6 linked regions of the Nothobranchius furzeri genome follow. The protein of the gene in region 6 purifies or fractionates together with the protein of the main gene of each other region. This does not show direct contact. Links are inferred from orthologs where the notes say so. Each region holds a gene or a part of one and is shown on either strand. Other genes may lie near its edges. The genes, in order: cep97, neurl4, ccnf, cep76, cep290 and centriolar coiled-coil protein of 110 kDa.

Evidence for each region.
Region 1: the proteins of centriolar coiled-coil protein of 110 kDa (region 6) and cep97 purify together in Homo sapiens (co-immunoprecipitation; 10 studies listed by BioGRID and IntAct, with this or other methods). This does not show direct contact. The link is inferred for Nothobranchius furzeri from reciprocal best matches to the Homo sapiens genes CCP110 and CEP97.
Region 2: the proteins of centriolar coiled-coil protein of 110 kDa (region 6) and neurl4 purify together in Homo sapiens (affinity purification with western blotting; 4 studies listed by BioGRID and IntAct, with this or other methods). This does not show direct contact. The link is inferred for Nothobranchius furzeri from reciprocal best matches to the Homo sapiens genes CCP110 and NEURL4.
Region 3: the proteins of centriolar coiled-coil protein of 110 kDa (region 6) and ccnf purify together in Homo sapiens (affinity purification with western blotting; 7 studies listed by BioGRID and IntAct, with this or other methods). This does not show direct contact. The link is inferred for Nothobranchius furzeri from reciprocal best matches to the Homo sapiens genes CCP110 and CCNF.
Region 4: the proteins of centriolar coiled-coil protein of 110 kDa (region 6) and cep76 purify together in Homo sapiens (co-immunoprecipitation; 4 studies listed by BioGRID and IntAct, with this or other methods). This does not show direct contact. The link is inferred for Nothobranchius furzeri from reciprocal best matches to the Homo sapiens genes CCP110 and CEP76.
Region 5: the proteins of centriolar coiled-coil protein of 110 kDa (region 6) and cep290 purify together in Homo sapiens (co-immunoprecipitation; 6 studies listed by BioGRID and IntAct, with this or other methods). This does not show direct contact. The link is inferred for Nothobranchius furzeri from reciprocal best matches to the Homo sapiens genes CCP110 and CEP290.

Annotation. Positions count from the first base shown.
Region 1 is NC_091754.1:25,621,390-25,625,418, reverse strand, and holds the end of cep97 (centrosomal protein of 97 kDa), read right to left. Parts: coding exon 3,901-4,029; intron 3,813-3,900; coding exon 3,654-3,812; intron 3,553-3,653; coding exon 3,451-3,552; intron 3,366-3,450; coding exon 3,252-3,365; intron 3,157-3,251; coding exon 2,990-3,156; intron 2,905-2,989; coding exon 2,740-2,904; intron 2,630-2,739; coding exon 2,451-2,629; intron 2,356-2,450; coding exon 1,707-2,355; intron 1,583-1,706; coding exon 1,507-1,582; intron 1,207-1,506; coding exon 733-1,206; 3' UTR 501-732; downstream 1-500. UniProt on the Homo sapiens protein: Acts as a key negative regulator of ciliogenesis in collaboration with CCP110 by capping the mother centriole thereby preventing cilia formation. Required for recruitment of CCP110 to the centrosome.
Region 2 is NC_091742.1:53,449,486-53,452,248, reverse strand, and holds the end of neurl4 (neuralized-like protein 4), read right to left. Parts: intron 2,295-2,763; coding exon 2,201-2,294; intron 2,132-2,200; coding exon 2,024-2,131; intron 1,943-2,023; coding exon 1,798-1,942; intron 1,690-1,797; coding exon 1,577-1,689; intron 1,463-1,576; coding exon 1,303-1,462; intron 1,226-1,302; coding exon 1,021-1,225; 3' UTR 501-1,020; downstream 1-500. UniProt on the Homo sapiens protein: Promotes CCP110 ubiquitination and proteasome-dependent degradation. By counteracting accumulation of CP110, maintains normal centriolar homeostasis and preventing formation of ectopic microtubular organizing centers.
Region 3 is NC_091752.1:57,970,053-57,974,127, forward strand, and holds the start of ccnf (cyclin-F), read left to right. Parts: upstream 1-1,275; 5' UTR 1,276-1,507; coding exon 1,508-1,520; intron 1,521-2,547; coding exon 2,548-2,702; intron 2,703-2,794; coding exon 2,795-2,901; intron 2,902-2,976; coding exon 2,977-3,044; intron 3,045-3,200; coding exon 3,201-3,397; intron 3,398-3,596; coding exon 3,597-3,650; intron 3,651-3,944; coding exon 3,945-4,049; intron 4,050-4,075. UniProt on the Homo sapiens protein: Substrate recognition component of a SCF (SKP1-CUL1-F-box protein) E3 ubiquitin-protein ligase complex which mediates the ubiquitination and subsequent proteasomal degradation of target proteins.
Region 4 is NC_091745.1:49,054,253-49,058,544, forward strand, and holds the start of cep76 (centrosomal protein of 76 kDa), read left to right. Parts: upstream 1-1,492; 5' UTR 1,493-1,902; coding exon 1,903-1,965; intron 1,966-2,322; coding exon 2,323-2,508; intron 2,509-2,616; coding exon 2,617-2,707; intron 2,708-2,793; coding exon 2,794-3,018; intron 3,019-3,096; coding exon 3,097-3,282; intron 3,283-4,105; coding exon 4,106-4,203; intron 4,204-4,292. UniProt on the Homo sapiens protein: Centrosomal protein involved in regulation of centriole duplication. Required to limit centriole duplication to once per cell cycle by preventing centriole reduplication.
Region 5 is NC_091744.1:50,508,598-50,512,686, forward strand, and holds the start of cep290 (centrosomal protein of 290 kDa), read left to right. Parts: upstream 1-1,289; 5' UTR 1,290-1,497; coding exon 1,498-1,605; intron 1,606-4,089. Other genes in the region: protein O-mannosyl-transferase TMTC3, read right to left, coding at 68-256. UniProt on the Homo sapiens protein: Involved in early and late steps in cilia formation. Its association with CCP110 is required for inhibition of primary cilia formation by CCP110.
Region 6 is NC_091752.1:57,254,215-57,258,239, reverse strand, and holds the end of centriolar coiled-coil protein of 110 kDa, read right to left. Parts: coding exon 3,922-4,025; intron 1,759-3,921; coding exon 1,685-1,758; intron 1,605-1,684; coding exon 1,539-1,604; intron 1,453-1,538; coding exon 1,393-1,452; intron 1,166-1,392; coding exon 1,090-1,165; 3' UTR 501-1,089; downstream 1-500.

The sequences.
Region 1 (4,029 bases), on a different chromosome or scaffold from region 6:
AGATCATTATGATTTTATGACTTTTTATTTAGTTGGAGCAGAAACGGGTGGAGCTGACTCTAGGTGCATCTCCACCCTCTGGAGCAGCTCCACCTTCGTGGTTCCGCAGGGAGCACCCTCTCCGCCGGACGAGGCCCCCTCCCTGAATATAACATGAACCGAGATGTGGCTGGAGGGTAAATTTAGCTACCGTGCCCCCTCGTGGCGAAACACTTATATGATTTATATCCAGTCATTTTCTAATTCCCAAGAGTCTAAATTATAAGTGAGTATTTTGAAATATCTCATTAAATGCAACTTTTGCAGTCCGATGCTAATATGACTACAGGTTTATTTAAAATTTTAGATAAGGCAACATTTTTTCTATTACCCAATAACATTGTTCAGAACATATAACTGATAGTAGCGTGTTTGTAACAGACACGTGACATTTTAGAGGTTATTAATCAGTGAGTGGATTGCTGATAGTTTAAGCACATAAATTAACAGATTCAATAATATTCACACACCACATTCAATCAATTCAATAAAGAAAGTAAAAAATATATATATAAATAGCAGAAAGGATATTATAAAACATTTTGTATTACATTCACTGTTAGGTAATGTTTCAAGCTTTCAGTATTATGAGCACTTTTATCTGGCTTAACAAATCAATATGAGTGCAGCTTTAGGCTGATCTGTATCTCCAGTCCTATGTTACACACATTCAGTAGCGCTTTGGAGAAATGTTCAATATGAGAGGACGTTCACAGAGTCTGGATTGATTTCTGCTTCCTTATTTGTGGGGGAGTGGTTGGTCCTGCTTGGTGACTCTGATGGTGTTCCGATTATATCGCTGTTTACTTCTTCAGCCTCCTCCTCTCTCTGCTGCACAGAGGACAGGTACTCCTCCAAAAGGCTGCATTCTGCACTGTCCACTGCATCACCAGTGAGGCCACCTCGAATGGGGCTCAGCGTTCGCACGGTTTTTATAGTGTCGGCCGTCCCGCTGCTCAGGAAGCTGTCGTCCTGTGCTGCCTGGCGATCACTGGTTGATTGGAAGCCGGAGTCGGGGAAGGAGACGTCTGTGCTCGGTGGGTTTGTGGTGACAACAGGTGGGGGGGTGTTACAAGGTGCAGGAGATGAGATCTGAACTGCGCTGACAGACTTCACAGCTGCCAGCTTCTCCTCTACGGACTGCTTCCACTGCTGCATGGACTGAAGCTAAACAAAAATAAAAGTAAAGGATAAAAATATAAGTGATAAACTACATCTCAGAGTAGCAGGTTAAGAAAAATTGACCTGATTGCAAAAAAGAAATCTACATTTTATAATATTTACATTTTTTGCATTTTTAAATAAATCAGAAGCAAATTATCTGCACTTAAGCTGCTTAAAATGTCAAAACTGCTCCTTATTTTACTTTAAGCCTTCAGTTTTTTTAATTTACCTAAATATCTACTAAAAATGATTATAGCACTGACTAAACCGTTACTTAAAGTGATCATAAATGCAATTTCTAACCTCTTTCCACAGAAACTTCACAGCCTCCTCCTGAACCAGCCGTTGCAACCTTTCCTCCTCATACTGCTTTTGCACGCTGCAAAAAAATCAGGTTAAATTTAACAAAATCTCTCAACTTCCAGACATATATTAAGGTATAACTTTAAATAAAATGGTTAATAAAGAGATTTGTGACAGTTAATTCATGTTAAGTCACTCACGTGTCCAGTTTGTTCGACAGGAAGACGATGTGTTCTTGCATCCGCCGCAGACGGATTTCGCCGCGCACCTCTCTGGCTGCAGGATGACAACCCCGAGTGTAGTGTCCCCTCCACCAGGACTGGATTTTAATTGCTGCATTCTCTGCTTCTATCAGACTTGACTTGTTGACACACGTATCTGCTTGTTCCATCTTAGGTACTTTCACTTTGGCTTTACCAAAGTCAGGAGATATTTTTAGATCATTTTGCGATGAACTAACTTTGACTGCTGATGCAGCTGCTGTAGTTGCAACAGCAACAACCTCCTCTCCAGGAGCCTTCCTCTCATCTTTAGTCATCGGAGACAGGTTATTTGCCTTGCTTGTGTTGAGCTTTTTGGGTTGCGATGGGCGCTTTGGTGCCAGAGAGTCGGGCTCGAACGTCTCGGTCTCGTCTTCGCTGTCAGAGCGGGCCGTTTGCGACTCAAAATCAGACATGAAGGGGAGAAAGGTGGACTCTGAGGACAGCAAGCTGCTGTTGAGTTTGTCCTCATCAGTCTGCACATCCTCCAAATAAATGCACTCGCTGGCAGGTTTTGTGCTGCGAACCACTGGCAAAGATCGATGGGAACACTCAGAGCTCACCCATGTGTTAAACTGCACCACTGGTTCTGCACAAAAGCAGATAGTATCAGCAGCTGAGCATCAAAACACCAATAAAAACACATCAGAACAACTTCAACATGGAGGGAAAAAAACCTTTTACCGTTCTCTTGGACAGAAGGAGCAGCAGCTGGTAAATGTGAGGCGACTGGCTTCACCTCCTGAGCTCCACACTGCGGACTCGCACGTGAGGGACTGAGCTTTTCCACGTCAAGCTGAGTTGGACGAGGCGGACTGGGACAGCCACCTCGTATCTCCTCCAACAGCTGGCGCTGATGAAACCTGACACAAACAAAATTCCAAAACAAACTCAAGCTAATTTTAAAGGTGGATAAGACATCAGAATACTCTTGCTTTAATGGTTAGTATTTCCATTTGATTAACATGGATACCTCTGTTTACTGAGGATCTTCTCCAGTTTTGCATCTTCTGCTGTCTCCAGGGCTGGTGATGAGGTCAGAGGGCAAACAGTGGCCAAGTACTGAACCAGCTGGACATGCTGCCCTGGTCGATATGAGCGACCTTTACCCTGGCTGTAGAGCCACTCTGCTTTGAGACTGTAATTATAAAAATAATTTAAAAAAAAAAGTAAGATACAAAAACCTCCAGATTGTGGTCAATTAGAAGATTACAAGAAGACACCTTTCTTTTTGTGTCACCACATAGCCGTCGAGGACCTTCAGGTTCAGACACCAACTCATGATGTACGGTCGATAATCGCAACTCGGCAACATGGGCGTCGCCATGACACAAGGGTTACACATGATGGACAGCTGCTCCAGTTCATGAAGAGGAGCAAGATACGACACCTAAAGAGTAGTCATCATGGTTAATGAAAAACTATTGTGTTTTTAGGTCGTATCATCAAGATAAAAAAAAAATGAAAGCAGAAAAAGCTGATTACCTCATTAAGATCTCTTATCTCGTTTTCTGCCAGGGACAAGATGGATAAATGAGCAGGAAGGTGCACAGGAACAGTACGAAGGGTTGTTATGCTGTTTCCATGGAGTAAAAGTGTCTGCAGTGGGATTGAAAAACAAAATCAAAAGATACACTGAAGAAAATGTTTCGTATGCTATTTTTATGCACATATAACCACTGACCTTTAATGCCATCAGTTTAGTCAGATCACCAGTCGTTGAGATGTTATTGTCAGACAGATCCAGGTGCTGGAGCGACACACAGGTGTTAAGCTGTTCAATGACCTGTCACAGACCAAGGAATCTGTTAAACCTCTATCATCATCCATGAGGAAACGATGTTGGCAAATACAAGAATGTAAAAACAGGCATTAATCTAATCTTACTTTAATGTTGTTGCCAGACAGGTTGAGCCATTTCAGATGACGCAGATCTCGCAGCCCTTCGATGTAACCAATACTGTTGTTGGGAAGATTGAGTACTCTCAGCTCAGTCAGCCGAGAAACACTCATCATTCTCACCAGGCGATTATTGGCTACCGATAGCTGATTAGAAAATGATGAAGATTTTAAAGATAAGACGTTGAATTAGAAATCATGAGTTCACCCATTTACTGTAGGTCAATGCAGTTACCTGCTGAATGCTGGGGCATCGTTCCAGGTGATCCAGCTTCATAATGTTGTTACGGTCCAAGATGAGGGTGTGAGTATCCTCAGAACATGTGAAACTGGAATCTAGTTTCTGCATGCCTTGATCTGAAAA
Region 2 (2,763 bases), on a different chromosome or scaffold from region 6:
AAATAAACAAACTGCCAGTTTAGGTCCGTTTTTTAGGGAACAATTCAACATGTGAAACAAAAATTAAATTTCATCTAAAATGAGCTTTTCCGTGTCTTTGAATTTGTAAAACATCTTTCTGGGATAAACAGGGTGACATTTTTTTTCTTTTTTAATAGTAAAATATCATCCTTTGCAAGAAATCCAATCATTTTAAATAAATCAACATAAAATAGGAAGTTGAGATTTTTTAAATTCTACATTATGAAATATTTAGTTTTAAACGCTGAGCAAATGTAGCGCCTGGCACTATTTTCCATTCCCAAAAGTTGAAGTGGAAATTTTAAAAGATCAAGTATTAAAGTTTGTGTGAATAATTATTTTAATATTTTTAAATTAATGTGAAAATTCAGGGTCAGAGAGAAAGCCAACAGCACTAATAAAAGACACATGGGCATGAAGAGGGCAGCAACAATGGTGGGGTTGTAAACATGTTTCTCTACTCCTTCCAGTTTTCAAATGTTGCCCCTAAAAAGGTCCCAGTCACTTCATATTTACGGGTTTAATATCTAATTCAAGTGTAATTTTTACATTATAGTTAAAACGATGTCCCTGTGTTTTATTTATATATTATAAATGAATATTTTTGTGCTGTTTGACGTGCAGACAGACGTGAGGCAGCTTTTCCCAAAATAACACTCACCAGTGTGGAGGCTTGTCCTAGTAAACGTAAGTGCGAAAATCAAAAGTAAAAAAATACACTGATGGGGAGAACTAACAAACCTGTTGTGTTGACGAGGAGTTTAAAAATCGCCCACAAGTGTTCTAAACATAAAGTGCAGGCAGTGTCTGTTCGTCAAGACAGCCACAGGTTTCGGCCGCCGGGAGAAAGTCTTAGAGCGAAGAACCAGAACCAAAGTGTTGAGTCGTCAACAATCCCCGGTAGGACCAGCTGGATTCCACAGGAGCCTCTTGATCCAGTCAGAGCTGGATTTGTCAGGTTCATTAGAAGTTCAAGCAGTACCTCCTTTGTTGTCGTGTTCACTCTATTCTGATGAGCAGTCCGTAGAGGAGCGTGCCGCCCTGCTCTTTAGTGATCCACTCGATCTCCGTGTTGCTGAAGCGAGGATCCAGGGGCTCGCTGTGTCCTAGAGTCTGAGGTCCTACCTTATAGGAGCCTGGACGCACGCACACCTGGAATCCCACCTGAGCTTGGTGACAGCGGTGGGAACGGGGGTCCCGAAATCTGTGTGACGATGAGAGTAACCGTCAGTGCGAGCCTCTGTCTAAACCCACAGCAGCAGGCTGTTTTTATGCACTTACTGCACTTTAGGAGCAAAGATCTCTAAGCCGGAATAACGCATAGTGGGGGAGAGCCGCACTCTGGGAACCTCCCTACCGGGGGCGCTGTTCTCCTCCGGCTCACTGTAGCTGTTTGGCCCCTCCGCCTTCACCGGAGACACCGAGAAGATGGACGAACACCCTGCAGCAAATTACAGCAGATTTAAGCCTCCGCTTTCAGCCACGCCAGAGCGTTGACAAAATATTTTAAAAGTTTGTTTTTAAGAAAAATAAAATGAATGATGGCGAGTTGTACCAGGAAGCAGCTGGCCGTGGTCCAGGGTGCGTCGCAGGGCTCCTACGCTGGTGCCGTGGTATGCTATATGCCACTTCTTCATGGCGTTAGAGACCTCACAGTGGGACTTTATCCTGAAAAGACATCACAGATGCTTCAGTTCTTTTCCTTTTAGTTTCGACTCTCTAACCTGTTCAAAGGTCTCGAGTAGGTTTTAACAAAACAGGAGACGGTTGTCTCACCTGAGAGCGAAGCGGCACCATCCAAACGGCAGAGCGTAGTCCCGCGGCGGCTCTCCCCTCTTGTAATACGCCTCGTCTCCCCGGAGCTTGTGGCAGGACTCGCAGTAGCACAGGTTGCATTTAGCGTCCTCATTGAAGTACCCATCTTAACAAATAGCCGGTAGTAGAATCATTAGTTTCACCTGTTAGGCGGGAAGGAGGATAAAAACGCAGGTTTTGAACCGACCTGGTAAGGTAAGCAGGTCCTTGAAGCGGGAGCACAGAGCCTGGTACTCGCAGGTCTTGTTGGGGTTAGCTTCTGGAGGAGGCGTCCAACACACGCTCTCTTTGATCCCTGCACATCCAATTCACGTCATCTGAGATCTAAATCACTATAAACGCAGAGGAGTTGGTTTTTATTTACCGTCAACCATGTCCGCCTTCTCCATGTCCGCCTGACAACGAGTCTCACCGCCCTCTGCCCCCACAGCTGCCACTGTGCTGGTTACTATGGTTACCTGTCAGCAGGAAAGGACGTGTTAGCAAACTGTTTTCTTAAAAAACTCTGAATAATCACATCTCACCTGTTGTAGCCTCTGTTTAGAGACATAGGGTTTAAATCCGATAGGATTGATGAGCTAACAACTAGGCCGAGTGAGGCCCGGAAAACGGTTGAAACGGTAAAATCCTTCGTCGCGGCACTGTTGACAGGAATCTTTCCTGTTGGAGCTAAATCTGAAGGCCTCGCTGCTTACGCCTTTTCTACATTTAGACAACTAAACGTTGAGTAGCTTTTACTTTTTATTTCATCAGAATATCAAAAGTATTTTCTTTTACATATATTTTTTGGGAAAATAGGTTCTGGTCCCCCAAACCCATGCTGCTGCTCATCAGATCTTCCAGATGTGGCCCCAGAGCTGCAGGTTTCAGGACTAGCCGTTGGCCCTTTAGCTCTGCATTTCTCCAAACAGAAGCCTATCTCCACAA
Region 3 (4,075 bases), about 720 kb from region 6:
GTTGTAATTTCTTTATTATTTGAGACTCCTTTAAGTGGCGTGTCCCTTGCTATTCACTTTGTGCTTTTACTGGGAAAATAGTTGAGCTGGGTTGGAGTTTCTATGGAAACGGTGCATCTAGTTGAGGATGTCAAAGCCCTTGCCCTGACTGAGGTCACTCTGTCAGCTACAAGATAATGTGATTGCTCTGGACCTTCGTTGTTCAGCAGAGCAAGACTTTGCAATCCCCAGTGAGAAAATAAAAAGGCATTTAATTTATTTGCTTTATTCACTGTCATGTGAGTAAGTTCAATTTGATAAACAAAGGTGGCTGATTGTTTATTGTGTGCTTTGGGACGTTACTGGGAAAAACATTTTAAAGTTGTAAAAAAAAATTATTTTTTAAAATTAATGTGAAGCTCCTGATCTTTTTCGTGATGATGAGACTAAATGAACATGTTACAGATCAATAGAGAGCCTGAAAGGAACAAACGAATACTCCCAGATGTAGTCTGCTTCTTTATGACCCCTTTCAAAAGACCAACAATCAAGAGGATGCTATTTGGCTGAGAGAGCTCTCTATTTATTGTCAATAGGGATGCAACAAAAAGGTCTTAATTATGTGATTTCCTCAGAGGAAGCTTCCTCAAACCCAAACCAACCTGTTACTTTATTGCTTCCCATCTATCTTATGTTGGTCTTAGTGTGTGACCCATGAACAAGGCATTATCATAATTTCTGGATTCTGCTGTGCATTGGTGACATCTCTCTGATAATATTCTCACCGAGATACTTTATTACAGTTATTATAAAAAATAAATCATTCTGAGTGACACAGAGTAAACCTTTGATCTTTTAGAGAGAAAAAAAATCATTTGCTTTAGAATGTTTAAAAGAAACAAAGTAAATGTGTCACCGGGTCAAGTAACTGCACTTTTCTCCAACCCTGACTCCCCCTTGGACGGATCATTGGGGGCATGTCCCTTTAAATTATGTACCTTTAAACGCCACTTTTCCATTTAACTACATTTCCCACACGCCTTTTCAACAAGGCGGACACACGCAATCGAGTCAACCAATCGTAAGAGCACACAGACGAGCGCGTACTTCGAAATGGCATTACATCCTCCAATGAGCTTCGGTTATTTCATAGTTCAAGGTGTCAGACCAATCTGTGTTGCCTCTATTCCTATTGTCCAATCATAAGCTTGTAGTGTCACGCGCTGACGATGTTGCTCTCTACCAATCAACTTCTTTGTAGAGTTTAAACCGTGCGCGCGGGCGGTCCTACATAGTTTAAGGCGGAGCCTTGTCCGGACTCGTGCATGAATTTGAATTCAGACAACTTGATGTTGAGTTATTAGTCAGCCGCACAAACTCAACATTAACTTTAACACTGTTTAGCCTCTAATTCACTCCAAACGGTGCTCGGTGTAGCCTGCCTGCCTTAACTTGCATTAACACTGCGTTAAAACGGCTCCTCCGTGTTGCTGCTACAGGCTTCTGCGCAAAAGGAAAGCTACTTGCAATGAAAGCGGGCGGTAAGTAACTTTCTTCCGCTTTACCCACTCAGAATAGACGAATGGGAATAATTTGGTATGAAATGAGTGTTTAGGAGTGTGTGTTTGGTCTCAAACCGATTGCTAGGTACTTGTCAGCTCAGGCGTTAGCTAGTGCAGTGATGGATCCCAACAGGAACTTGGTGTACCATTTAGCTCAAAAGCTTCAATATACATCTAACACACCCACGGCTCATTTAGGAATTGTAGCACTAATATTCGTGGTTGGTGTCAGATGATATGTAGTTAGGTGTGGATGAACGAGATCTGGTCGTAACGGTACTTTATTGAACCCACAGGAGGGAAATTTGGGCGCTCAGTTGGTTTGACATCATCTGTTAAGATTTCACCACTGTTCGATTTCCCCAAACAGCTCAAATATGGTTGTTTGTGTTCATTTAGGCTTTTTCTTCGTCTACATTTGATCAACATGTGGTTTAACGTGTTGAGGAACATGTGGAGTTATTTTAGTAGGCATGATTAAACTGTGGAGTAAGTAGGAAAACTACGATGGAAAACTACTACGAGATTATCATTTATCTCTAAACTATGCAAATAAATACTTCTTAAAATATTATTTTAAAATGTCGAATTATGCTCATACCTATCATGCAAAAAAGAAACAATAATTTATGGTGTTGGTTGAGTTAAAGCTCAATTCAGATTCTAAATGATATTAGTTTCAACTGTATTTTGTACAAACTTGGGTTTTTATACTTAAATTTTACAAATGTAGTTTTACATTAATTTTCTTTGTGGCAGACTCACAACCCAGGAAATTAATAGTAACTGAAAGTGTCAAATCATATAAATCAAAGAAAGCCTAACATCCTGACTCGTGTGTTAGAATTAATTAAATGCAAATGTTCATTTTGCGTTACAGTGAGAATTACATCTCCAGCTTTGCACCGAGACCTTTACTGATTTTCCTGTGTACACACCTAAAAAGTATTTGACTCTAAAAGTGTGTTAATTTTGTGATTTGAGTATTTTTTCCTCTATTTTCCAGTCGTCCACTGCCGGTGTTCAAAATGCTACTCTGTTCCGACACGGAAGCGAGTCCGTCAACGATCCCCAGACTTAACTTTGCTCTCCCTGCCTGAGGAAGTCGTTCTATGTGTGCTTCAGTGTCTCTCTGCTGAGGATCTGCTGTCAGTAAGAGCGGTGAGTGAACGTAAATCCCATCACAAAACGTCTGACAGCCTCTTCTGTCGTGTTTCTTGTTCAGGGATTAGTTATCCAGGTTTCTGTTGTAGGTTCACTCCCAGCTGCGGGACACTGTTGACAACCACTCGAGTGTGTGGGCCAGGGTCAGTTTCAGAGACAAGTGGCCGTCCCCCGACACCTTGTGGCTGTTTGAAAGGTACGGTTCCTTCTGACAAATACAACAAAATACTTGCTTTTGTTTACTGAAATTAATATAAAATTCTCACTTCAGAGCTGCTGAAAAGGGGAATTTTGAAGCTGCTGTGAAACTTGGAATTGCTTATTTGTACAATGAAGGACGTAAGTTAAAACAGTTATTTTTTTCTTCTTATTCTTTTCAGAATGTAGTAAATTTCTGCTCAAAGCACCACAGCAGTGTCATTTTAATGTCAGAGACACAAACCCTCTTGATAAATGGTTACGACCCTTCACTCTGGCCTTCTTTCCTGCCTTCAGCGTTGCTGAGCGATGAGGGGCGAGCAGATGTGTGTGGTCGAAAAGCCTCCCACTTCTTCAGTTTGGCTGAGAGTCTCCGCTCCCCCAAAACCGATCCCTTCACTTGGGTGTTCATCCGTCCACCATGGTCGCCCACTGGCAGCTGCTGCAAGGCCGTGGTGTTTGATCGCCTCAAGGCTGAGTGCGATGGCAACATGGTAGGTTCTGCTGCCGCCAGATCAGTGATGAGAAGCCACAGAATAAAGCTGTGTTTGTCCGTTGCATTGAGCTCGAGCCGCGTATGGATCTAGGAAGGTTTAAAGCTCCAAACAGAACATGAGCTTCTGCTTTCCCCCTGCATAACCCATGAGAGGAGCACTGGGAACTGAAACGCTTGTTTTTTTTCTTTCCCTGCAGGAGAAGAAGGGACCCTTGTTGCACTGTTTGGCCAGAGTTTTGCTTCTTTTTGAAGTGAGTGAGACTGAATTTGACTTTCTGGGTGTGGCTTGCTCGGTTTCTATTACCGTTGAGTAAAAATGTAAATCCGTGTGTTGTCACGTGACGTGTCCCCAGCCATGTTCCTCTTTACGATTGGCCTACTCTTAATCAGTCCCCCAAAGCTTTTACGAGTTTTGCTGATTGATGCTTTAGACTTGTGAGGTTTCATAATTTGCTGAAATCATATCTATCAGACTGTTATTTCACTGCTTTCTTACAAATGTAAGAGCAAAACATTCTGTGGTTATAACCATCTGTCTTTCCCAGGACGAGGGGCGACGCTCCAACGCTGTATCTCTGCTGGAGGAGTCGTCTCAGGCCGGCTGTCTGCTGAGTTCTTATCTGCTGTGGGAGAACAGCCGCAAAGCAGCTGTGAGCGTCGTTCTTTCTTTCTGCCT
Region 4 (4,292 bases), on a different chromosome or scaffold from region 6:
GTCTGCTCACATATACTAATGTGCCACAAACAGGACGTTGATATCATCAACCATTCCCATTTTATTGAGGTATATCCATAGAAATGGCCCACCCTGTACAGCAGTTTGAGGTTTAACGTTTGAGTTAGTCAATTGTGTTCTCAGCAGCCCCTGAAATAAATTATTAGCTTTATTGCCAAGTAAATTGAGAACTTCATATATGCGGAATTTATTTGTGGCATTTAGTGCAAACAGGCCTTCGATGAGGAAAGTCAAAAGGAAAATTAGGACGCACTGCAAATGCAAATATAAAATGCCCATGGCAGTAAAGACGTGAGGGAGTGTTCTACTGATGAAACCATAACAGAGGAAACGTTTGAGTTCTGTTGGACCTCAGACTCCTGCAAAGAAGGAAGCATCAGAAAAACTGTTCAGGATCAGAATAATCCACAAATAATCTTTGCCACCTGCATCCTGGACTTCTACGATCCAGATTGTATCAATGAAACAGATCATAATCTGTTCTTCTCATCAGTAACAGGAGGTCATAAACCACGCCCATCTACTTCCGGACCATGGGACCCCGGAAGAACAATATAAATGAACAAAACTATTTGAGATGTGAGTTGTAAGAATTTGGGTACAAAGTAAAAATAAGTATGGCGAGATGGGGCATCCTTGGCAGATACCATGTTTTAGGTAAAACCAAGCCCCCACAATGCGGGTGAAAAATTAAAGCAAACGCGGAAATGAAATAAATTGCAGTTCCACCCTCATCCGCTGGGGGCTGGTGTCAGAAGCGAGCAAATCCTCATTGACTCCCATGTTAAAAATATCAATTTCACAGCAGAAATAAACATGTTTATGGCCTGGTACCAAAACATTTTTTGGTTTAAATTATCTAGTTTACACTCATGACAACTCTGAGGGGGGTGAATTTTTTTCTCACTCTTCTGTTTAAGTGTATTAAAAGCCTAAAATTCTGTATAATTAATGAGCATCCGACCCATGTGACCGCCGCCTCAGACCCACGTGACCACAGATGGATTTCTTTGTAAAAGTTGTCCATCTTTCCAACAGAAAGATTTGCCTGGACCAACGTAATGTAATAACAACGTAACGTGATTACGTAATTATGTAAGGTTCATGTTCAGCCAATCAACTACTTTGACGTCATCGGCAGTCGACGGACCCCGAGCCGATCTTGCACCCGAACAGATCTTGTACCGACACCGGGTTCCAGTAACTCATTTATTATCTTAAGACGAGGCCGTTATTGTGGAGATGGAAGTACACATATTTTACAGTATTTGTTTGAGGAATCATCACAGATTACTCAACAGTAAGATAAATATATATAAAACGTAGTGTTATTCAGTTGGTTTTAGTATTTTATAACTTAATGTTTTATGTATTTTAAAATAAGAATTACACAAGCACAAAACAAATCAAAAGTACAGAAATTAACGCGACTAAATTGCTGACTAAATTAATTAAATTTAATTTGAACTACAACTGTGGGTCCTTTTATGGAGAGTCGCTTGCATTGATGACATTAGGATAACTAATATTAAGCCTGACTAAATTTAACAATGTTTTTAGCATAACCACTTTAAATGGGGTATTTCAATGATTAGTTTAATATTTGTAGGATTTAGTGAAATTGAAGTAATCGTGTTACCTAATAACTGATACTGTTTAGTCATTTTACATTTATTTTGTTCAGGCATCAGCGGAGGCAAATACCTGCGCGCTAGCTTTTTCGCCAAAGTTCAAACGTTCAAACTGGTCTGTGAAGAACAGCAGTACAGAAAACTCAATAAATGCACACGTCCATAGGGATTATAGCTCAGACCAGGAATAACGCTTTTATTATTGTTAGGTGAACGTTTTATTCTGGGTTCATCATTAGCCGAAGCTGCAATGTCTCTTCCTTCAGAGAAAGCTTCCGAGCTGAAGCAGAGAATCCACAACCATTTACTGAAGGTGAGCCAACTCTTTACTTATGTAGCTAGCCACAGCTTGTGTTGTTAATGTGCTGAAGCGCTCTTTGTGTGTGCGCGCGTGTGTGTATGTATGTATGTATGTGTGTATGTGTGTGTGTGTGTGTGTGTGTGTGTATATGTATATGTATATGCGTGTTTGTGTATGAATGTATGTGTGTGTGTGTATGTATATGTATGAATGTATGTATGTGTGTGTGTGTGTATTTATGAGCCAGATAGAACAAACCCAACCTAAAGTATTCTGTTAGTAAAGTTTATTCTGAAGCGGTGCTTCACTAACGTGTTTCTTGTTTCGGCTAAAGTAAAAGCCTCATAATGAGTGTTTATCTGTGGTCAGATGGACATCCATGGGAAGATCCGAGAGCTTATTGCTGAGACTCTCGGAGAGGATCAGGGCTCAGGGCATCGCTCTCTGTCTGAGGCAGATGTCCTTCGTGTTCTCCAACGCAGAGGCATCATAGACGATGTGATGAAAGATCTCCACTTTACCCAGGCTCCCCTGCACCATACAGATGTTGTTCAGGTTAATAGCTTTGGATATTCCAGGATTAAAATGCCAGATAACATTTGAACCTGATCAAAAGCAGAGTCCTTTATTTAATTTCCTAACGAAATCTGCTTGTTTTGTTAGGGAACAGCTCCAGATGCAGGACTAAAACCTCCTCCGAAGCCCACCACTCATTTTGGAGTGTTTAACCCAGACGTCCCTCTGCATATGAAAAGTAAGAAACTTTGCTTACATCTATAAAATATCAAACTGCACAGTTGCACTGGTTGATGTTTTATTTGCACTCCTCATTTTTCTCAGCCAACGTTGATCCATCTAGACGGTATCTTCATCTCCAAGTTCTTGGAGGGAAAGCATTTCTTGAGCACCTCCAGGAGCCAGAGCCTTTACCTGGTCAGGTGTGCTCTACTTTTAAACTCTACCTACACTTTCACAACCAGAGGTTTCACTCTAAACCAGTACCCTGTGCCTGTGAACCTGACCTGAGGGAGGGTTTCCTGCTGGAGATGCACAAAGATGGCCTCGGTAAAGGATGCAGCTGAATGAGTACATCAGCCCTTCTGTAGTCAGCTTTTACGTCAGAAGGTTTCTGTGGGATTACAGGAGATGGCAGTAAGATGGTGGATGCCACAGACATGCTGTCCATATGTGACCCGGTCCACTTTGTGCTGATCAAGACAGACACCTCTGGTGAGACAACACTTGTCTCCTCCTACTTCCTGGACTGGAGGATAGTTCTCAGCTCGCCAAGTGGCAAGACGTGCTTTGCAGTGGAGCTGATGGGAGTTGGTGAGCAACACACACAGCTGCTGCGCTAGACTCTGATGTTTTTAAAACGGTGAGAATGGATAAAAGTTTAATAAGTTCATCTTAAATCCCCTTTTAAATGCTCCAAATGAAATCTGTGTTATGAACACAAAGCTTTGCATTGGATCGGTTAGCACATATGGGACAGCAGGAGTTTAGGAGCTGGAGCGGCTCGCCCAGTAATCAGAAGGTTGCAGGTTTGATCTCCACTCCGAACAGAGAATGTTGCTGTTGTGTCCTTGGGCGTTAACCGGCCTTGGTCGGAGGGACCGGTGGCGCCAGGGCAGCTGTGGCTACATCATAGCTCATCATCACCAGTGTGTGAATGACTGATTGTGTTGTGAAGCGTCTTGGGGGGGCTGTAGAACCCTAAGAAGGCGCTATACAAATACAGACCATGTACGAAACCCCTCAACAAACAAGCCATGTTACTTCAGGGCGGGGTCTTAAAACGTATTAAAGGATGATAAATGAAATCAAGACCCTTATGAAGTCAAATCAGTTTAGTAAAATCTTTATTTGTTTAGTGTTGATGTGTCCTTTAAGCTCGTTTATCAGCGGTCCTCTCAGGGTTACGTACAGCCTCGCTACAGAGGTGCCAACGTGATGTATCCTCCTCACTTCTAGTCTAAATGGAGACTTCAGTAGATGCCAGCATGAAGAAGGGCACGTTTGCAGAAGTCCAAGAGCTCCACAGTTGGACAGCTGGTGGAGACGTGTAAAGGCCTCAGTGCTTGTTGTCTTTCTGCTCGTGCTTTGATTACAGACTGCTGCAGTCTTTGCTGATAGGTTTGTGTGCCACCAGGAAGTGAATGCAAAGTCCCAGCTGGTGTTTTAACTGTCAGCCTGGAGCTCTACCCTCCTCTCTCCAAGCACCTGAACAGTGATGTCATCAGCACACAGGTCAGTGCAGCAGATTCTCTTTACCCAACTGTTCAAGAAAGGATAAACAAAAGCAAACATGGAGACCTTAATGAGCGACTGCTGGTTAC
Region 5 (4,089 bases), on a different chromosome or scaffold from region 6:
CCTGCTGTAAAACATACAATCTCTGAAGAGAAAAATAAGCCTGTATCCAAATAGGACCATGACTTGCCTCAGCCATGGGGGTGCCCCAAAAGTCATTGAGAAACAGGTTGCGAATGGGGGTGGTGGGCCGGAGGTCCTTGTTGTCGAGGATAGCTGAGACATCATCAAACACAAAGCCACACGAGAGACTGTTCCAGTAACATCCCACCACCAGTCCAGTCAGAAATAAAATCTCCTTCCATGACACGACAGCCATGGCTGGCCAAAGCCCTCATTGATCACTGCAGGGAAGGAGGGGTTGGCAGAAATCAAAATTAATAAGCACAGTTTGATTTAGTTTAAAACGCTTGTATTGTACTTACATTACCAAGCTGATTAAACAGAATTAAACTTTTAAAACTTTGTGTTCCGAGGTTAGAACAGGTCATGAAGCCAATTACATCAAATGTTTTCTGTCTAACTTGAGCCCTGTTATGGCAACAAACTGCAATTTCAACAGTATTTTCTTCTCTGATTGACTGGATTATTTATTCTAGCCTATAATTAAAAGTAAGGTATTTTAATGGCACAGCAAGTAAAGGTATGCATGGAGACTGACCGTTGGCTTTTAAGCTTATCCGGTCAAACCACGACCCGGAGCTGTGACATTTGTCAGTAACAACATCATTAGCAATATAACTCGCTCATTAACATCTACTTTAAAATACAGTATGACGGAAAACGAGGTGGTTCTTGTGTATTCACAGTGACGAGACACCACTAAAAGAGCAGTAAGAGAAACTCAGTTTGACAGCTGAAACTGAACAGCTAGATACTTCATCCGCTAATGCTAACTAGCTCGTTACCCGTCTTTATGTTCTGAAATGTCTAAATATGCGCATTAAGGTCTATCTTACCAAGTGATTACAGGACAGACGGCAGCAACACCAAATCTTATATCAAAATCAAGAAATAGTAGCGTAAATTCGGACAACATAGTTCATCAAACTGTTTTCCATTTGTGCAAACTAGCTTAAACGCTTCTTCGATAGTACTTCCGGGTCAGAGGTGACTGCGCAGGTCAAACTTTAGCTAAACAACAGAGCTGCTAAACCCGTTTTGATGGATGAAACTCACTTTACAGACTCTTCGGAAACGTTATAGTGCGGTATTCCTTTATTATAGGGTCCCGTTTATTGTTTCGTTGTGTTTTCGTTGACGTTTTGTAGCACTTGAAGATTTTTGTGAGTTTTACTTCCTAGCTGTAGCAGTTGTGAAGCGTAACCTAGCAGCCAAAGCCTCACAGAGACCTCAGGAGTTAGGATGAGAGTTTACTGACCTTTTTGCTTCAAAACTTCAGAAACGTTTACACGACGTGTTTAAAGCAGCCTACCAAAATCTACGTTTTATATGAGGTTACAGCGGAGCTGAGTAGAGTTATTTGGTACACCTGACGGCTGCAGTAGCCTTTTAGTCGTTGTCTCGTGAAAACATTGATAACCACAGCAGTTGTCCAAAATGCTGCCAGCCGGCCATGTGTGGAATAAAGTGTCAAGATTTGACCCCTGGAACGTGCATGAATGGAAAAAGGACGAAGTGGACGATGTTGTCCGCACATTTATTTCGGTATTTGTCCACTCTTAAATCATATGAACTCTCCAGATGTGCTCTGTCAGACTAATGCTTTATTTTAAACAATAGAAAACGAGTTAATTCGAAGCGAGTGGAGGAAACAAGCGTTAAACCTCATTATTACTAAAACGGTTGCATGAATTGTCCTACTTGAGCTACTTCTGTTTTTTTGTTGTTGTTGTTGTTGCTGTTTTTAGACTAATCTTTCAGGAACACAATTGTTATTATTAAATATAACCCAAGTACTTTCAGAATACAGATTTCAACTGAATATTTTATTTATTAATAATGAATTCACTGTGAATACATCTGTAAATATTTTTCACATCATTGTATTTAGAGCCAGTGCAATGAGAGAAGAGATGGGGGGAAAACAAGCTCCCATAACAAAACTCATATTTTCACTTTTTATCAAGTCCTTTTTTTGTTAAATATCTATATTTTTAAATACATTTGGGAGTAATTTGAGGTTTAATGCATACATTTTTGTAAAGATCTTTCATTTTAAAAATGAATAGCTGTCATATGTTTAAGAAAAGCCTGTTTAGCAGAATAACTTCATAAAATAGCACAGAATGAAATAAATTCAAGTAAGGGACGAGTAATTGGTTATGATTAACTGGACAGCATTTTGTTTTGTTTGTAAAATACAGAAAATATTATTGCAATTCTTTTCAACAAAATGTACTTTGGGGCAAAAAGTATTTGGCAGCCACTGATTTTACTAGGTGTCCCACTTGTGTGGTGTGGGTGACTTATTTTATCAATCTATTTGTAGTGGTCTCTAGTAGGAATAAATGCCTTGTAAGTCAATATACTAGTAGCCTGGCAAGCTATACTTAATAAATATCTTAGTTTGGCAATGCTCCATTGACTGTTCTTGGTTGTGGGGCAGTTTCTACCATGTCTTTCAAAGGATCTCCGTATGCAACTGGACAACGAACAAAGTGACGTACTCACCGCAACGGATGCCGGTAAATGAGGCGGTCCGCTGGCAAAAATAAATCCTTTTTTCTAATTAAAGGACTTAAATACATCTATCTGCTCCTGATTCTAATGAAGCCCAAGTCCAAATAGTCCAAAATTGATGTAGAAGTTGTTTCAAATGAGCGGTCGCCATTTTGTTCCACTCTGTCGCATCATCCTGCCCACCAGACCGATTGGCCCACAAAGCTGATAGAACGCTAATGCAGGAGATTAGTGTAGGAGACGTTTTTCATGTTCAGCCTGCATGAAAAACTCACAGTGACCGATTCATTAAAAAAATGTTTTTTTTCAGTCAACCACACCTTTAAAAAGATGAAAGAGTACTTTTCATGAAATGTACACCTCAACTGTGAGAGAAAGATAATGTAAAAAAAATCCTGGAAATCACATTGTATGATTTATTTTGTTTATTTGTATAATGGTGCAAAAAATAAGTATTTAGCACCTACAAACAAGCAAGAATCCCTAACAAACCCATTACTTCACCTGTCTTCTATGCTCTTCTGTCCCCCAATTGCTGCATGTGTTAATGGCAGCTGTTTGAACTTGTTAACTGTATAAAAGACCTCTGTTCACACCTTCAAACAGTTAGACACCAACCTCCACCATGGCCAAGACCAGAGTTGTCTAAGGACTCCAGGGACAAGATTGTACACCTGCACAAGAATCTACAATAGGCAAGCAGTTTGGTGAGAAGAGATCCACTTGGAGCAATTATTAGAAAATGGAATACATGCAGGGTCACTGGACATCTCCATTGACTTGGGGCTCCATGCAAGATCTTAATTAGTGGGGTACAAATGATCTTGAGAACAGCTCAAAACTATATGAGGGGAAATGGTCACTGACCTGAAAAGAGCTGGAACACCCTGCAGCGCCCGTAAGGTCTCCCTTCTTATGCCAGCATGTCCAGGCCTGTCAAATAGAATACAATAGACTTTATTGATCCCACAGAGGGAAAATTCACTTGTTGCTGCAGCACCAACACTGAAGAGAATAATTTGAAGATAAATAAGATTTGCTGGAGGCCATCTGGATGATCAAGAGGAGGACTGGGAGAATGTCATGTGACCAGATGAGTGCAAAATAGAATTATTTGGTATAAACACCAATTGCCATGTTTAGAGGGGCCATAATGCTGAGATGCATCCCAATAGTATCACACCCTGTGTGAAGCATGGGGGTGGAAACATCATGTTTTGTGATGCTCTTCAGTTAAGGGGACGGGCGACTGATCTGTATTAATGAAAGGGATAAAAGGACCATCAACAGTGAGATTCTGGGCAAAAAAATTCCTCCATCAGTAAAGGCACTGAAGCTGAAACGTGGCTGGAAATTCCAGCTACTGTGTCCAAACCTGATGAGGACCTACAGGAAACGTGACCTCTGTCATAAGTATAGAGGTGACATTTTGTTATAGACCAAATACTTATTTTCTGCACCATTGCACAAATAATTTCTTTAAAATCCTCCAATCCTGTCTCTCACAGT
Region 6 (4,025 bases):
AGTGAGCGCCGTAGATGGCTGCTCTCGCTGGGGGAAACAGGATCCCACCCCCCCACCCCCGCCTTCCTGTTGGAGTCTCATGTTATGTTGTGTCGTCTGAAGTCTGTTGCATATCTGCTGAGGTGTTTTTTTTTTTGCAGAGCAAAGCTGCTGGAGGGTAACTCTGAAATGCCTTTTTTTCCCTCCACCTGAACCAATCCTCATGTAACCCTCTTATCTCTATTAAGGTAGCGCGACTCAGGTTGCGAATGACCACAGTCACCAGTTCTTGTCATGTGTCTTGCCCATGTATGTCTGATCTCTGAATTGTGTGTACTGAAACTCTAATTTCCCTCTGGGATTAATAAAGTATTGATTGATTGATTATATTAAAGATATATATATATATATATATTTAATATATTTTGTGAGAAAAGATAACTGCATGTATGTATTTGATATTATTTCAATAAACTTGGAAGTTTAACACAAATCATTGTGGAAGGTTGCGAAAATACAAATAAAATGAGCAGATTCTGATTTATTCAGGAAATAAAATCAGAACAAGAAAAACAGAAATGACATAAAAAAGTCACACAATAAATGCAACTGATGACAAACTACACTAATTTAACTGCAGAAATATATCAAACTGGCTAAAATGGTGATAAAGTACTCAGCACCATTAGCTCCCCAAAGCACAGAAAACGAGTCAAAGCCCTTTAACAAAATCGTCATAAATTATACACGACTAAATACTATTTCAAAACCTGCAGTTTGACATTCAGTCTTAAAATTCAGTTACAACGATGAGCATTTCATATGTCTGATAACATCAGATAAACAATACAAGCATGCTAAGGTGTAGTCCAGCTGTTTCTACGGCCTCGTTACTGGATACTCAACACACACACACCAACGTTTCAGCAGGAGGCAGCAGTAAACACAACTACACTGGTGTTAATGAAAACATGGAGGCGATTAATATCATCAGAGATAAGACTTTAAGTAATGGTGTTAGCAGCGCTGTAAAACAGGTCCAGTGGTGCAACATTCAGAATAAAAGAATGTAAATTCAAGTTAAGAGGTGGAGCGGTGCTGTGTGGTGTGTTAACCCAGAGAGTGCTGCTTCTTCAGGCTGTCCGAGCGCCTCACTCTCTCTTCAGGAGTCTTTCTGTACCAGCTCCTGAAAACAGGGTTAGGGTTAGCCACGGTCACTGGGAGGAGTTTAAACACACCAGATCTCTCACAGAGTCACTTATAAAGGAGAAAGTTACTCATAATTCCAGTAAGATCAATTATGGATAGGAACATGCATAAAGAGATGGAGAAGAGAACGTTTTAAGACTTGTTTTCCAAGAGGAAGTGAGACTTTTGCTGTTTGAAAATGGTGAAACTAAAAAACAAACTCACCCCTGGCGGTGCAACTGGCCTGGAGTAGAGGAGTTCTGGTTTTGACTAGGCTTCAAAACTCTGGAGAAAAACAAACAAAATTATTTCAGAGAAAATTGGAACTATAAAAAATAAAACATCAAATATAGATATTAATGAAATAGAACCTGGTGGTTGTGGGGCTTTTTGGCTTCTGCTGCACCTTCCTGACCTGACCGGGGGACTCACCAGCTCTACAGGATTAACAAACACAAATCAGCATCATATCCAACACAACACGACACACAAGCTGTGATTTTAGCTCCTCCCTCACCTCTTCTTCCTGTCCAGAGACCGCTGAGTGGCAGCAGAGAGAGAGACTCTCTCCTTGGGACACTTGGTTTTCTCCTGAAGAGGAGAATTCATTTATGTTGGTGAGATATTTTTAAATAATTTAACACAAAAATCTGTTATTTCTCCAGTTACCAAGAAAATATGCCCCAGTAAACACTGACGTTAAACCAGTGGCTCTCACACCCAGCATGCGTGGAGCTGCAGGTGGAAGTGGAGCAGCACCAGGATCTACATCAGTTTGCATTCAAAAAGCAACAGCGGTGCCACCAGGTTTAAAAACACCTGGAATTGGTGGAGCAGGTGAAAATGAGCTCAGTATTTTCTGTTACTGTAGCAGCATGGGGCACCCACAGGGCCGCAACTATTCACCAACAGTTTACACTAATTGATAGCTTCCTGCTTAATCAACTTGTTGTTATATCTTCTGATTTCTCTGCTACACTCAGTCTGCTAACTACAGATTCCACCTGAAAGGGCCACAGCTGTGCAGAGGATGAGTGTGTGAGCTGGAGTGATGCTCACCAACTCTACATTAACACAGACGAGACAGTGGAAATGCCCATGGATCACAGATCAGCTGGAGACCACCTCCCGGTGGCCGTGCATGGGCACAGCATTCAGCACATGGAACCCTTCATAAGATGGGAGTTCACGTTCATTTAGACCTTAGCTTGCAAACACAGGCGAACACAGCAGAGTTTGTCTCTGTGAGCACAACTGGTACATGCATGCACTTAGCTGTTCCTGCATCAGTTAAAAGGCTAGTGCACACAGACAATGAGCTGAACATATCTGGAAAATTGAAAAGCTGCCTAATTCCTCGGTTTAGGACACATATGTCAGAGTCAAGGCCTGCGGGCCAGATGTGGCCCGCGGAGCATTTTTATGTGGCCCGCGAGATAAATATCAAAACTATATTAAAACTGGCCCGCTGGCCGATTTTACCGCTTTGCGGCGCCAGCGCGGAGCAGACGTGCCCCCTCCTTTGTGTTTTTTCAGCGCCGAGGCAGTCAGAGGTAGTTGGGTGTCTGCAGCTCCGCTGTCTCGGACAAACTACACTCCTCTCACTCAGCGCCGAGTTCACTCAGCTGTTTTCTGACGTTGAAGCCCAGAAACGGAGATTCTAGCCGCTCAGTAATGTGTTCACGACTGAAAGAGAAAGTTTTCAAACTAACTTCCAGACAGAGCTGATATAACTCCAGCGAGCAGCGACACGCTAAAACCAGCACGACTCTGTGGTTGTGTTTCCTCCCCGACACACAACAACGTGGTCAAGCTGCTCAGACATGTTCATCAGCACAAACCTATGTGAGCACCTGTTGTCATCTAATGTTGTCGTTATTATGATGAAGATGAATAAAACAACAGGAGTCTCCTCCTCAGTTCAGATCAACCCCATGATGCAGGTATCTGGCTGGAACAGGTGAGCATCACAGTAAACCAGTGGAGCAAACTGAGCTTTAAATATGTTGGTTTTATGCTCGTTTTCTGCTCCAAAACATGAAAGTTAACAGGTGAGATGTTGCATTTTCATTTAAGATAAAATGATATTTTTATTTTGTTGTTGGCCCGTGAGAAAAGATTTAACCTACAGTAAACAGGAAGTGGAAAGGCTGCAGATAGATGAATAGAATAGAAAATCCCTTTATTGTTCCTCAGTGGGGAAAGCTAGACGTCACAGCAGCGATGACGCGTATTACAGGAGAAAAAAAGGAGAATAAAAATAAGAAAAATGAATAAACAAGAAAACATAAATCCTGAATAGATTTTAAAAGTGCTGAATATACCACAAGTAATGAATACCACTGATGTGTTTTATTTGTAACTGACTTGCTCGTGTGTAATTTGGTTATTCCACATTCAGTGTTAATGCAGAAATATGTTTGTTTCCAAATTTAAAGGTTCAAAATTGCATACATGTTGATAAAGAAAACGTGCAAATTTGCTGTCACTTTTTCAAAAAATATTAAGTTTGGCCCTCGACTCCGTCCCAGAGTTTCACTTCGGCCCCTTGTGAGTTTGAGTTTGACACCCCTAGTTTAGGAGCATATGGCTTCCAATGTGTTTTTGAACAACTTTTTTTCTAAATGATGTTTTTCATTAGTTCTGTGTTTTTTTTTTTTTTTATCTTTGTGATGTGTGTGCAGTGTAACCCCTCTGTCTCTATTTTAAATTAAAAAGCCATAAATGTTTCCTCCCTGGGTGTGTTTCGTGTACCAGGTCTCGGAGCTTCCTCTGTACACGCAGCTCTCTGTCCTGCTGCAGAACTGCTAATCGATCTGTTGAAGTCATTTCAAAGAAGATGTCGTGCACGTCGTAGA